3 linked regions of the Mus musculus genome follow. The protein of the gene in region 1 interacts with the protein of each later gene in a pairwise test. Links are inferred from orthologs where the notes say so. Each region holds a gene or a part of one and is shown in the gene's direction. Other genes may lie near its edges.

The links.
Region 2: the proteins of Bhlhe40 (region 1) and Rbfox1 interact in binary tests that used the Homo sapiens proteins (3 or more experiments, as listed by UniProt). The link is inferred for Mus musculus from reciprocal best matches to the Homo sapiens genes BHLHE40 and RBFOX1.
Region 3: the proteins of Bhlhe40 (region 1) and Aanat interact in binary tests that used the Homo sapiens proteins (3 or more experiments, as listed by UniProt). The two-hybrid records come from large-scale screens. The link is inferred for Mus musculus from reciprocal best matches to the Homo sapiens genes BHLHE40 and AANAT.

The regions. Positions count from the first base shown.
Region 1 is NC_000072.6:108,663,495-108,667,243, forward strand, and holds the end of Bhlhe40 (class E basic helix-loop-helix protein 40), read left to right. Parts: intron 1-984; coding exon 985-1,838; 3' UTR 1,839-3,431; downstream 3,432-3,749. UniProt on the Homo sapiens protein: Transcriptional repressor involved in the regulation of the circadian rhythm by negatively regulating the activity of the clock genes and clock-controlled genes.
Region 2 is NC_000082.6:7,408,758-7,412,506, forward strand, and holds the end of Rbfox1 (RNA binding protein fox-1 homolog 1), read left to right. Parts: exon of another isoform or gene 1-933; coding exon 934-1,056; 3' UTR 1,057-3,723; downstream 3,724-3,749. UniProt on the Homo sapiens protein: RNA-binding protein that regulates alternative splicing events by binding to 5'-UGCAUGU-3' elements. Regulates alternative splicing of tissue-specific exons and of differentially spliced exons during erythropoiesis.
Region 3 is NC_000077.6:116,592,400-116,596,148, forward strand, and holds the start of Aanat (serotonin N-acetyltransferase), read left to right. Parts: upstream 1-1,287; 5' UTR 1,288-1,375; intron 1,376-3,176; coding exon of another isoform or gene 3,177-3,237; coding exon 3,238-3,394; intron 3,395-3,726; coding exon 3,727-3,749. UniProt on the Homo sapiens protein: Controls the night/day rhythm of melatonin production in the pineal gland. Catalyzes the N-acetylation of serotonin into N-acetylserotonin, the penultimate step in the synthesis of melatonin.

The DNA.
Region 1 (3,749 bases):
AGGTTAGGTTTCTGTGTGTGCAGCAGTTGTTGGAGTTGTTGGTTTTAGTTTTGTGGTGGTTTTGGTTGTTCTGGTTTTGGTTTTCCTAAAGCTCAGAAGTAACCTGCCAGCCTCACCCTCCCAGGCGGGGGGATTACAGTGGGAGCTGTAACAGTTTCTTGGGCATGGTGGTGCATGCCTGTAGTCCTGTCCTTGAGAGGCAGATGGAGCCCCTTAAATTCATAGCCAGCCAGTTTTGCATAGGGAATTCCAAGCCTTTTAAGACTAAATAGGGAGATCCTAGATCCTATCTCGTACAAAAAAAGGGGTGGGGGGCAAGGGAGACAATGTTTTGTTTAGGCGGTATTTGTTTTATATAGTTTCTTTTTATGAGTCTCTGGACTTCTGCTTCCATGAAACTGTTGCTATACTAACTTATTGAGGATGGGTGTGGTAGTGCAGACCTGTAGGCCCAGCAGTCTGAAAGTTAAGATAGGCTCATATGCGTTCAAGGCCAGCTTGGGTTGCTGAGTAACTCAGTGTCACTCTAGACTAGAATGAGACTGCTTTATTTAAAAAAAAAAAAAAAGATGTGACTGTTGAACTTTTAAACACAGTAGCATGTTCATTTTTGTGACACAAGAAAAATCGGTAGCTACTACATGAAGTTTATCAAGAGTAGAAGTAAGTTGGTTTATTTCTCTGGGACACTCTACAGACATTATGAATCCTAGTTCGGAAAGTGGAGTATATGTAACCTTAGCGATACTCTGTTGTAATTAGTATTAAAACCCAAGTATTAATAAGGAAAAAAAAACCCTGTAACTAAGTGGTCGGAATTTGTTTATTTTATTCTTTATACTTCTCAGCATAATTCTCTAGGCATAGACTTTTGGAGTCTGAAATGCAAATTGCCCGACAATTTCAAAAGAGACAAGAAGAGAGCCTCAGACTTACCTACCACCCAACCTTCTAAAATCCTCCTTTCTGGGTCTTTTTCTTCAGGTGATTTGTCGGGAAGAAATCTCGAGGCAGGGCAAGAAATGTTCTGCTCAGGTTTCCAGACTTGTGCCCGTGAGGTACTTCAGTACCTGGCGAAGCATGAGAACACTCGGGACCTGAAATCTTCCCAGCTCGTCACTCATCTCCATCGTGTGGTCTCGGAGCTGCTGCAGGGTGGTGCTTCCAGGAAACCATTGGACTCGGCTCCCAAAGCCGTGGACTTGAAAGAGAAGCCCAGCTTCCTAGCCAAGGGATCAGAAGGCCCTGGGAAAAACTGTGTGCCAGTCATCCAGCGGACTTTTGCTCCCTCGGGTGGGGAGCAGAGCGGCAGTGACACGGACACAGACAGTGGCTATGGAGGTGAATTGGAGAAGGGGGACTTGCGCAGTGAGCAGCCGTACTTCAAAAGCGACCATGGACGCAGGTTCGCCGTGGGAGAACGTGTCAGCACAATTAAGCAAGAATCCGAAGAGCCCCCCACCAAAAAGAGCCGAATGCAGCTCTCAGAAGAGGAAGGCCACTTCGCGGGCAGTGATCTGATGGGTTCCCCATTTCTTGGGCCACACCCACATCAGCCTCCTTTTTGCCTTCCCTTCTATCTCATCCCACCATCGGCCACTGCCTACCTGCCTATGCTGGAGAAATGCTGGTACCCCACCTCTGTGCCAGTGTTATACCCAGGCCTCAACACCTCAGCTGCAGCCCTCTCCAGCTTCATGAACCCAGACAAGATACCGACTCCCTTGCTTCTGCCCCAGAGACTCCCTTCTCCTTTGGCACATTCGTCCCTCGACTCTTCGGCCTTGCTCCAGGCTTTGAAGCAGATCCCTCCTTTAAACTTAGAAACCAAAGACTAAACTCTGGAGGGATCTCCTGCTGCCTTGCTTTCTTTCCTCCCTAATTCCAAAAACCACAAAGGTTTCCCTGAGTGCAGAGAGATCAGCCCACCCTGCAGACCCACAGAGAAGATTCAGAGTGTGTGTGAGAGTGAGTGAGTGTGCGTGCGTGCGTGCTTGTATGTATGTTTGTATATGTAGGACAATAAGTTCCTTCTGACACAAGGGAGACACGAGAAGGATAGCCTGACATCAGATGACAGACTGGAGGACTGTAGCACATCTCTGGGCGTTTCCCTACCCAGAGAAGAGCCCCCCCCTTTGATACAAATCGGTTGGATTTTCATATGCTTCAAAGGCTTGATCTGTGAGTCACTCTCCAGTTTGGGACATGGGTCTGTCTGTGGCTTTGAGAAAAGGTACTTTCAAAAGAGGGCTTTCCAGAGCACAGCTCACAGCCAGCTGTTAGGACCCCACCCTTCTCCCTTTATTGTGGAGGTGACTCACAGCAGACTGACAGTGGTCAGGCTGAGCTTTCTGCTAAGGTGGTGAGGTCGCCAACACTGGCATGTCTCGGTAGTGGTTTGGGCAAATTTCTGCAGGTCCCTTCCCCCCAACCCCGTCTCTGATGAATAAAGACCATGAGTGGAGTTCCTTAACTCAGGCTTTTGTGAGTAGTTTACTAAGGAACTGAAAATGGTCCCCTTTGTCCAAGCTGAGCTGCTAGGGAATCAAGGTGAACTAGACCCGTCCTCAGGCCTCTGGCACCTGTTTCTAGCTCTCACTTCTACGGCATGCTGTCCAAGGAACCAAAGGAGGCTCTCGGAGATGCCCCCAAACGTCCCAAAGTACACAGAGCTAAGTAATCAATTGCTACACTTATTGCACAGCTAGACACGGATTTCAAGTGTATCCTAAAGCTTTGAACCAAGCTTAGCTTCTCAAAGGCCTAGCAGAGCTTTGGCACCCCAAGATCCTTTCTGTAGGCTATTTCCTCTTGCCCAGCAGTGGATGGAGCGTCCTTGCTAAAAAGGGTTCCATCTCCTTTAAGGACGTTTTATTTTTGATCCAGAGTCCTTGTTTCCTTGACTTGCTCCACCAGCCCTGCACCAGCTTTCCAAATGCACTCTGCTTGTGTTGAAATTCTCCCATTTTTATTTGGGCATAAAAGTTGTTGCCTTTATTTGTAAAGCTGTTATAAATATATATTATATAAATATATGACAAAGGAAAATGTTTCAGATGTCTATTTGTATAATTACTTGATCTACACAGTGAGGAAAAAAATGAATGTATTTCTGTTTTTGAAGAGAATAATTTTTTTCTCTAGGGAGAGGCGAGGTTACAGTGTTTATATTTTGGAACCTTCCTGAAGGTGTGAAATTGTAAATATTTTTATCTAAGTAAATGTTAAGCAGTTGTTTTAAAAATACTTAATAAAATAAGCTTTTTTCCTGTGGAAGAGAAATGGTCTCCTTGGTTTTAAAAATAACTTAGTGTCACGGTACTTTCTCTGTCCTCTCAACTGAGGACAGTGACTAGTTAATCTTGACATAATTGCATTTGGCTTGTCATGTGCCTGGCATTAAAAACAATATTGAGTTCACATAATAGGTAAATGCTGGATTTGTTTTGTTTTGTTTTGAAACAGGGTCACATGTAGTAGCCCACACTGGCACTAAATTTGCTGTGCAGCCAAGGCGGCCTTGAATGGATTCTCCAGTCTCTACCTTCTAGATGCTGGGATTACGGTTAGGCTTCCTGGATCAGTAGAGACATGCTCCACCATGCCTGGTATTATGCAGTGCCGAGGATCGAACTCAGGGCTGCATCTTAAGCAAGCACTCTTACCAAGTGAGCCACGTTCTCAGTCTTTTATAGATCTTAATGAACTCTTCTTGTCTCGTGTTGGTTTCCAGACAACCACTTATT
Region 2 (3,749 bases), on another chromosome or scaffold:
AAATGGGAGGGCAAAAGTGGGGGGGAGGCAAGGGTAGGGTGGATTTGCCTATACTTGTTCAAACTTCTATGCACTAACACTCTTGAGTCCAGTAAGACATGTCCATTGTGTGAGAGCACATGCGATCAATACAACGCCTTGGCATGCAGTCTTCTGCTTGAGTTGAGAATCTTAGCCCTCTCCCTGAAACTCAGTCCCATGGGCATTCATTGGAATGGCCAATAATTGCAGCAAAGAGAAATGCTTAAGTGTGGTAGGAAGCCACTGCTAGGCAGTTCCCTGCACCCTGGGTCATAGAAACCCAAGCAGGCATAGAAGAGCCTGCTGTTCTACATAAGCTTAATCACACCCAGCAGAGCTCCTGCCCCACCCCCACTGCAGCATCAGAGTCAGTCAGTTGCCTAGCCAAAGCTAGAAGCAGGCCTTTATTCTTATTTCACCGTGACATCCAACAACCAAGACTACTCCAAGATCTAGGCCACTTGAGGAAAGGGGTGGAAAAGAATCCTGATCCCTTTATTCAATACATTGTCTAGAACCACCTTTGACTATACACAGAGCTTCTCCCAGTGCAACATCATATCAATTAGTCCACTCATCAAAGAAACAAACCAGTAAAATGAGCTGGTTCCTATCCATCCACTTTCCCATTTGAAAACTGGAAGCCTCGTAGCTGGTAGGTAAGACCAGCTGATCCAATTCAGTTTCCTGGGATTATTAGGTTTTCGTCTTTGTTTTTCATAAGGAGTTGTAGGAGGAGGTCAGGAGTGACCACCATTAACTTTCTGACAAGGTCTGGGATGGGGAAGGGGGTGCCCTCTAATTTGCTTGGTTTTGAGTGTCTATTTTTTTTTACATTAGTCTTTTTGATGATCCACATGTTACAAAAGGCAACATGTAAAAAACCACACCCCTCAAATTGCTTTGTTTCAGAATGCTTTTGCGCCCTTGACCGATGCCAAGACTAGGAGCCATGCTGATGATGTGGGTCTCGTTCTTTCTTCATTGCAGGCTAGTATATACCGAGGGGGATACAACCGTTTTGCTCCATATTAAATGATAAAACCATTAAACAAACAAACAAATAAACAAACAAACGAACAAAAAAAACCCAACCTTCCAATGTGGGGAGAGAGGAAGCTTTCCGAGGCCTGAGTGTTGCATCACATGCAGTAGGACATCATGTTAGCAACTCAAAGAAACAACTAAAAAGAAAAAAAAATTAAAAAAAGAGGAAAAATTACATTTTTTATCTTATACCTCAGATATTTTGTTCTGTGTATTTTAATATTGTGGGTCTTTGGTTTCTGAAGGTTTTTGTAGTTCAGTTGGCTGTAGGAGTTTTTGTGGTTGATCTAGAGAGAGGCTAGATATGAATAAAAACTGATTTAGGGCCATATCCAGAGTGCTATATTATGTAAATGAATTCTATATGCCGAACATGAAGCTACTGGGGTTAAGCTGTTTGGGAAGACTGGAAACGGCAAGTCATTCTTTCTGCATCCACATTATTTTATTCTGTGAAAGGGGAGGCTGGGGCGGGCTTAGGGGTTTGGCTGAAAGGAAAAAAAGAAAATATATATATATATATATATATACATATATATAGTAACTGATGAATCTAAATGACCCACTGCACCAACTATCATAAATCTATGGTTCTAAGTTACTCCTGGCAAAGTCAAGCCAAAGGCTGTGTTAAGAATCCGCTTCTCATAGCACGGAGATTGCAGTTGAAGGAAGGAAGCTGTGTCGGCCAGTCCACCCTCTTATCATTCCACCTGCAGTACTCAGCTTCTTACCTACCCACTAGTTATTTAAGCAAAGGCTACTAGTTAGGCCATCAGTAAGCATTCTTTTTATATTTCTTCCAGTATGAGAAATTATTGATATCACTGCTGACTTTTATATTACGGGAGGGAAAAATTAACATTAATAAAAAGGTGATTAAAAAAAGCACTGTTTCTATTTTTTTCTTTTTTTCCAAAAAAGAAAGTAATAAAAACTTAAATTCTTTGTACCAGTTAAAAATATGTATAAAATTTACATCTGTGCAGTGGAGTTATGTTCTAGAACAGTCTCTGAGGCTTTAGTTTAGCTTAGTAGATTAACTGTTAGAGACAGACGTATAATTTTTATGGAATTACATGATAATCATATCTGGATTTATAGTCGCATTTTACAAGTATCGCAATCATTGAATAGAGATAATCATGGTATTTTCATCAGCTTGATACTTTTTGAAAACATGACTGCGCTGTGAGCAACTTGCAATTTTTCAGTCTGTGAGAGCCCGCCCTTCCCTCTCCCCAGTGCCCCAGGGTTATCATAAACTGGTATCTTTATTTCTATCACCAAGGCCCAACAATTGTCAGAAGGAAGCAAACACAAGACAAAAAACAAGAACTAGAACTATCCCCTCCACCCCCAAAGAACAAGATCTGCCCCATCCTTTTTCGGAGCAGGGCCAGAGCAACACAGCCGAAAAATTGCAACTTGTGATTTTCTTCTGTTTGAATCCCCCCCATGTTGTCCTGTTTACAAGTTAACCTAAGTTGGGGTATCTGTCATGGGTCTTCCTGTTTTGTATTTAAATTCTAAAATATCAGCAAGCTGTTCCCTGAGTAGTGTTGCTGCCTGTGTGTGCGGTGCCGGCCCCGCGGCACGCACTTTAGTAAGTTATCAACTCACGCTGTGAACCTGCCAACCTGCTGTAACAACTCTGCTTTAAAATCAAAACCAAACGAAACTTTAAAAAGAAAAAAAAAAGTGTGTGTGATCCAGCTTTTCCTCGTCATCCTACGTGCATGCCCGTAAGATCGGTTGGATATTAAACCATCAATAAAGTTTCATGAGATTTGAAAACAAAGTTTTTGTAGCTTCGATATCTAAGACAGGTGATCATGGTTTGGGAGAGAAAGAAAAGCAAAGGGCGAGGAGGGGAAGGGAGAGAAACTGCTGAACTGGTGAGAAGAGAAACTGTTCTTCTTTCACCAGACCCCTTTCTTTGAGTAGGGAGAGACAGGTCCAGAGGGAACCATTTGACAACATCACGTTCCCACTTCCCTGGCCTGCTACAGCGTGCACCTGGTTGATGTTATCCAAGGCAACAATTTATCATGATGCTGTAGCATTCAACCCCAGATGGGGTCAAGATAGTAATAGAAAAGGGGGCTGCAAAAAGATCAACAGACTCCTCCCAGTCGCCCCAGATTTTCAAGCCCAGAACCTGCATTGTGTATGAAATCACAAACATGGAATTCTTACTGTGCTGGCTAAAGTAAAACTCATTTGCGGTTTTGATTTCCATCAATGAACTGTACTTTCCCCTACGATCGTATGTAGTTTTAATAAAAATCATTTAGAGCAAGTGGGTGCCAATCGGTGTCGCAGAACCTTTTGTCTAGGCACTCCACTGAGCTGCCGATAAGTCGTTTTAAACTGTCATGTCAGAGGTGTAAACAAACATTTTGGATTTTTTAAAACAACAGTATTTATTTGGAATGTTTTCATTTATCTAAATAACTATTGCTATTATGAATTATGGAAAAAAAGATTAATGTGGCATATAGTGACTTCTTAACACACATCACTCAATCTGCAAACCCAGAAAATGTGTATATCTGTCTTTAGAAATTAGTGTTTATATCACTTACAGTGGTTTGTGAATAAAGAAAACTGGTTTGTAATATCAAAAAAATAAAAGCTTAGTCTGAAAAGGTACCTGTAAGTTGGTGTTCTGAGTTCTT
Region 3 (3,749 bases), on another chromosome or scaffold:
AAAGATGGAAGTGTCCAGGGAGCATGCAGTTAAGGCAAAAACAGGAGATCCTGCAGCATCAAACAGCAGAGAAGGATTCTGGGGGAAGAGGTCTCCACAGACAGCTGATTGTGTGTGTGGTGTTGCCTGTACTGGCCCTGGTTCCCTCCACCCAAGGGTCAAGGTTGGAACTGCATCCCTCTAAGAGGATCACTGGTCCTAGCAGGTGTGCCCTCTGCTGGTGGCTTTGGGGAATGCTCCTCCTGGCTCAGTGCCTTGAGCTGGCAAGGCTTGCTGATGCAGACAAAGAGCTACAGTACCCTGGTGGAACAGGGGAACATATGGTAAGAGGAGCTGGCCAGAGAAGAGCTAAGAGAGGCAGGGTGAGGTGTGAGTGGGAAGGAAAGGGAACAAAAGAGTGGTGTGAGGGACAGAGAGATTGCAGGTGTGGAAGTCAGAGATCTTTGGAGTTTAAGAAGATGTTGAGCATAACATACATAGAGGTAGCTGCATGAATTAGCACCGTCCAACTGAACAGTTACCTTGCTGGTGACCTTAAGGCCTTCTCCCTGGGCATCCAGCAGCCGGGTCCTAACATCTGGACAAGATGTTGAACTAGAAACCACCATGTGTCTCTTGTGTTCTGGCTTCTGTCACCACTGTGCTGGTCTCCTTCTGGGTGCTGCATGATGGTGTGTGTGTGTGTGTGTGTGTGTGTGTGTGTGTGTGTCCCGTGACATTTTGTATAGACCCATAGTTCTCTCTTTGGTTGGTGGTATTGAGGTGTTTCTGCTCTGGAGAACTGTTTCTAGGGACCTTCCTGCTCTCCTGGTACCTGACTGGGGCCCCTCAAGTTATGGGGCAGAGCCTCAGTTTCCTCCTCTGTAAAATGGATAGTTACACTCACCTGGCAGGATACCCTGTGGATTGTAGAAGCTGCCTCCCCAGGTATGTGGCTATAAGGGATAGCAGGCTTCCTGACCAAGAAGGACCCTCAGAGGCGTGGGCAAACTGGCCTCTGAGGGACAGAAGGTGGTGGCTGGTCCCCAGCCAGCTGGGGACAAAGCAGGGATTAGTTAGACCCCCAGGCTTAGCCCATGCTCTCCCTATAGCTTGAGACGGCTACTAGTAATTCTTTCTACGTCCCCAGTACCACTGATGACGCCTGCCCTCAGCAGGATAGGGCCAGAGCCTGACTGCCAAGCCCTGCTGGCATCATACTGCCTGGGGTAACATGGGAGGCAGGGCCAGGGGGATTAGAATCTCTGAGCCATCACATGCTGCCAGGGGAAATATGTGCTACAGCTTCCTTGCAGTCAGGAGTCTCAGCTTCTCCTAGTCCCAGCACCCAGTGACAGCCCCCAGGACAACACCTGCACTCCTTCTTAAAGTTCTGGTAAGTGGGCCCCCCATCCCTGGCTCTATGTATATATGTATGTATATATATGTGTGTGTGCATGCATGTGTGTGCATGTATATGTGTATGTATGTGTGCATGTATTCGAGCTTGTGTATGTATGTGCATGTATGTGTGCATGTATTTGTGTATGTATGTATGTGAATGTGTATGTATGTGTGTGCATATTATGTGTTTGTGTGTGTGTGTGTGTGTGTGTGTGTGTGTGTGAGTGGAGGCCAGAGGTTAGCTCTGGGTGTCATTCTCTGAGAACTGCAGGGACTGTCTACTTCGTCTCTTTGGACAAGGTCTCTCACTGGTCTGAAGTTCACCAAGTGGGCTGGGTTGGCTAGGGGAGCCAGCGAGTCCCAGGGATTTGTCCAACCCCGTGTCTCTGGTCCTAGGATACAGATGCTGGGTGAGGGGCCCTGCACCAGATTTTCCATGTCTGAGACTTATGCTTAGGTCCTCGTGCTTGAGCTATCTCCATCACCCATTTAAAAAGAACATCTCTATTCCATTCTAGTTACTTGTTTGATGTGCACGTGCGGTGCACACATGCGGAAGCCAGAGGAGCACTGTGGGAGTCAGTTCTCTCCTTCTAGCATGTGGATCCCTGGGATCAAACACAGGTCCTCAGGCTTGGTGGCAAGCGCCTTTGCCTGCTGAGCCATTTCACCTAAGCTCCTCAGCCCTTTTTGAAAGCTGCGGGATGGAAGACATCCTCTAAGGACCACCGCTTTGTAGGGTGTCATGAGAAAGAGGGTATCACACTGGCATGTTCTATGTGCCTAAGCTGATAGGACAGACACATCGCCCTGAATGTCCTCCATACCTGACCCTCCTGACCTCAGACTCTCCAGTCCTAGGCTCTTTAACCATCTTATCCCCCATCTCCCCAGCATGACCCAGTCTGATGTCAGGCTCACATTAATTAAAGAGCTTTTTCTCCTGGACTAAGGTCTGAGACAACCTAAAAAGCTCTCAGCTCGGGGGAGGATAGACGGCTCGGAGATTAACAGCGTGTATGAGTTCTGCTTCAGACCTGAGCTCAGTTCCCAGCACCCACAGTGGGAGCTCACAACCACCTGTAGCTCTAGCTCCAGGGGATGCTTCACCTCTGGGCGCTGGGGGCTTGTGCACGGAGCCACACACAGATACACAGACATATACACTTCCTTCAAAGAACAAAAACTGAAAAAAAAAAACAAAAAACAAAAAACAAGAAGTCTTCTGGGTGAGACAGTCACATGACTGGCAGTAGCCACATGACTATGAGGCCCCAGGTATGAGGGGCCTGGGAGCCTGCCCACCCCGCAGATTCACAAGAAGAGGTTGAAGGTTCATGGCCTTGCTCTACTGCCCTCTTGGGGTATGATACCGATACACAGTTATGGTGCCCACAGTCTCCCAAGGCTGGAGGGCCTGTAGAGTCTTGAGCTTTGAACAATTGCTCAAAGGGACCTCTAGCTCATGAGTGAAAGAGAGAAAATCACGCTAACATTGTCAGTTCCTGCAGTTTGCCTTGAGGTTCAGGTACCTGGGGACTGGTTCTACCCCAAGAGACTGGCACTCTCTGTGATGAACGCCAGACTCTCCCTCTCTCTCTCTTTCTCTCTCTCTCCCTGTCTGTCTCTCTTTCTCTCTGTCTCTGTCTCTCTCTGTCTCTCTCTTTCTCTCTCTCTGTCTTTCTCTCTGTCTCTTTGTCTCTTTCTCTTTCTCTCTCTCTGTCTCTCTCTGTCTCTGTCTCTCTCTGTCTGTCTGTCTTTCTCTGTCTCTCTCTCTCTCTCTCCTCTGACAGTTGCTCAGGGAGCACTTCTGAAGCTGGGGAACCCCTGGGAGGGTTCAGTGGCCAGACGCCCATGTTGAACATCAACTCCCTGAAACCTGAGGCCCTGCACCTGCCACTTGGGACCTCAGAGTTCCTAGGCTGCCAGCGGCGCCACACACTCCCTGCCAGTGAGTTCCGCTGCCTCACACCTGAGGATGCCACCAGTGCGTTTGAGATTGAGCGGGAAGGTGAGTGGCGCTTGGGCGGGTGCGCTTGCCTTTGGGAGGCAAATTTGAGAGCTCTCTCTCTCTCTCTCTCTCTCTCTCTCTCTCTCTCTCTCACACACACACACACACACACACACACACACACACACACACGGCAGGGATGAGGAGAGATGGGGGAAGGAGGGAGGGAGGGAGGGAGGAAGGGAGGGAGGGAGGTGTGCTCTAGTGTAAGAAGCAACAGCCCAGAGTCACCTGTTTTCCTAGCTCGGGCAGGATCACCCGAGTGACCACTTCTGTGCACAAACAGCAGGCAAGTGCAGAGCAAGCAGCCTTCATCTTGCCTTCTGCTACAGCCTTTATCTCTGTCTCCGGTACC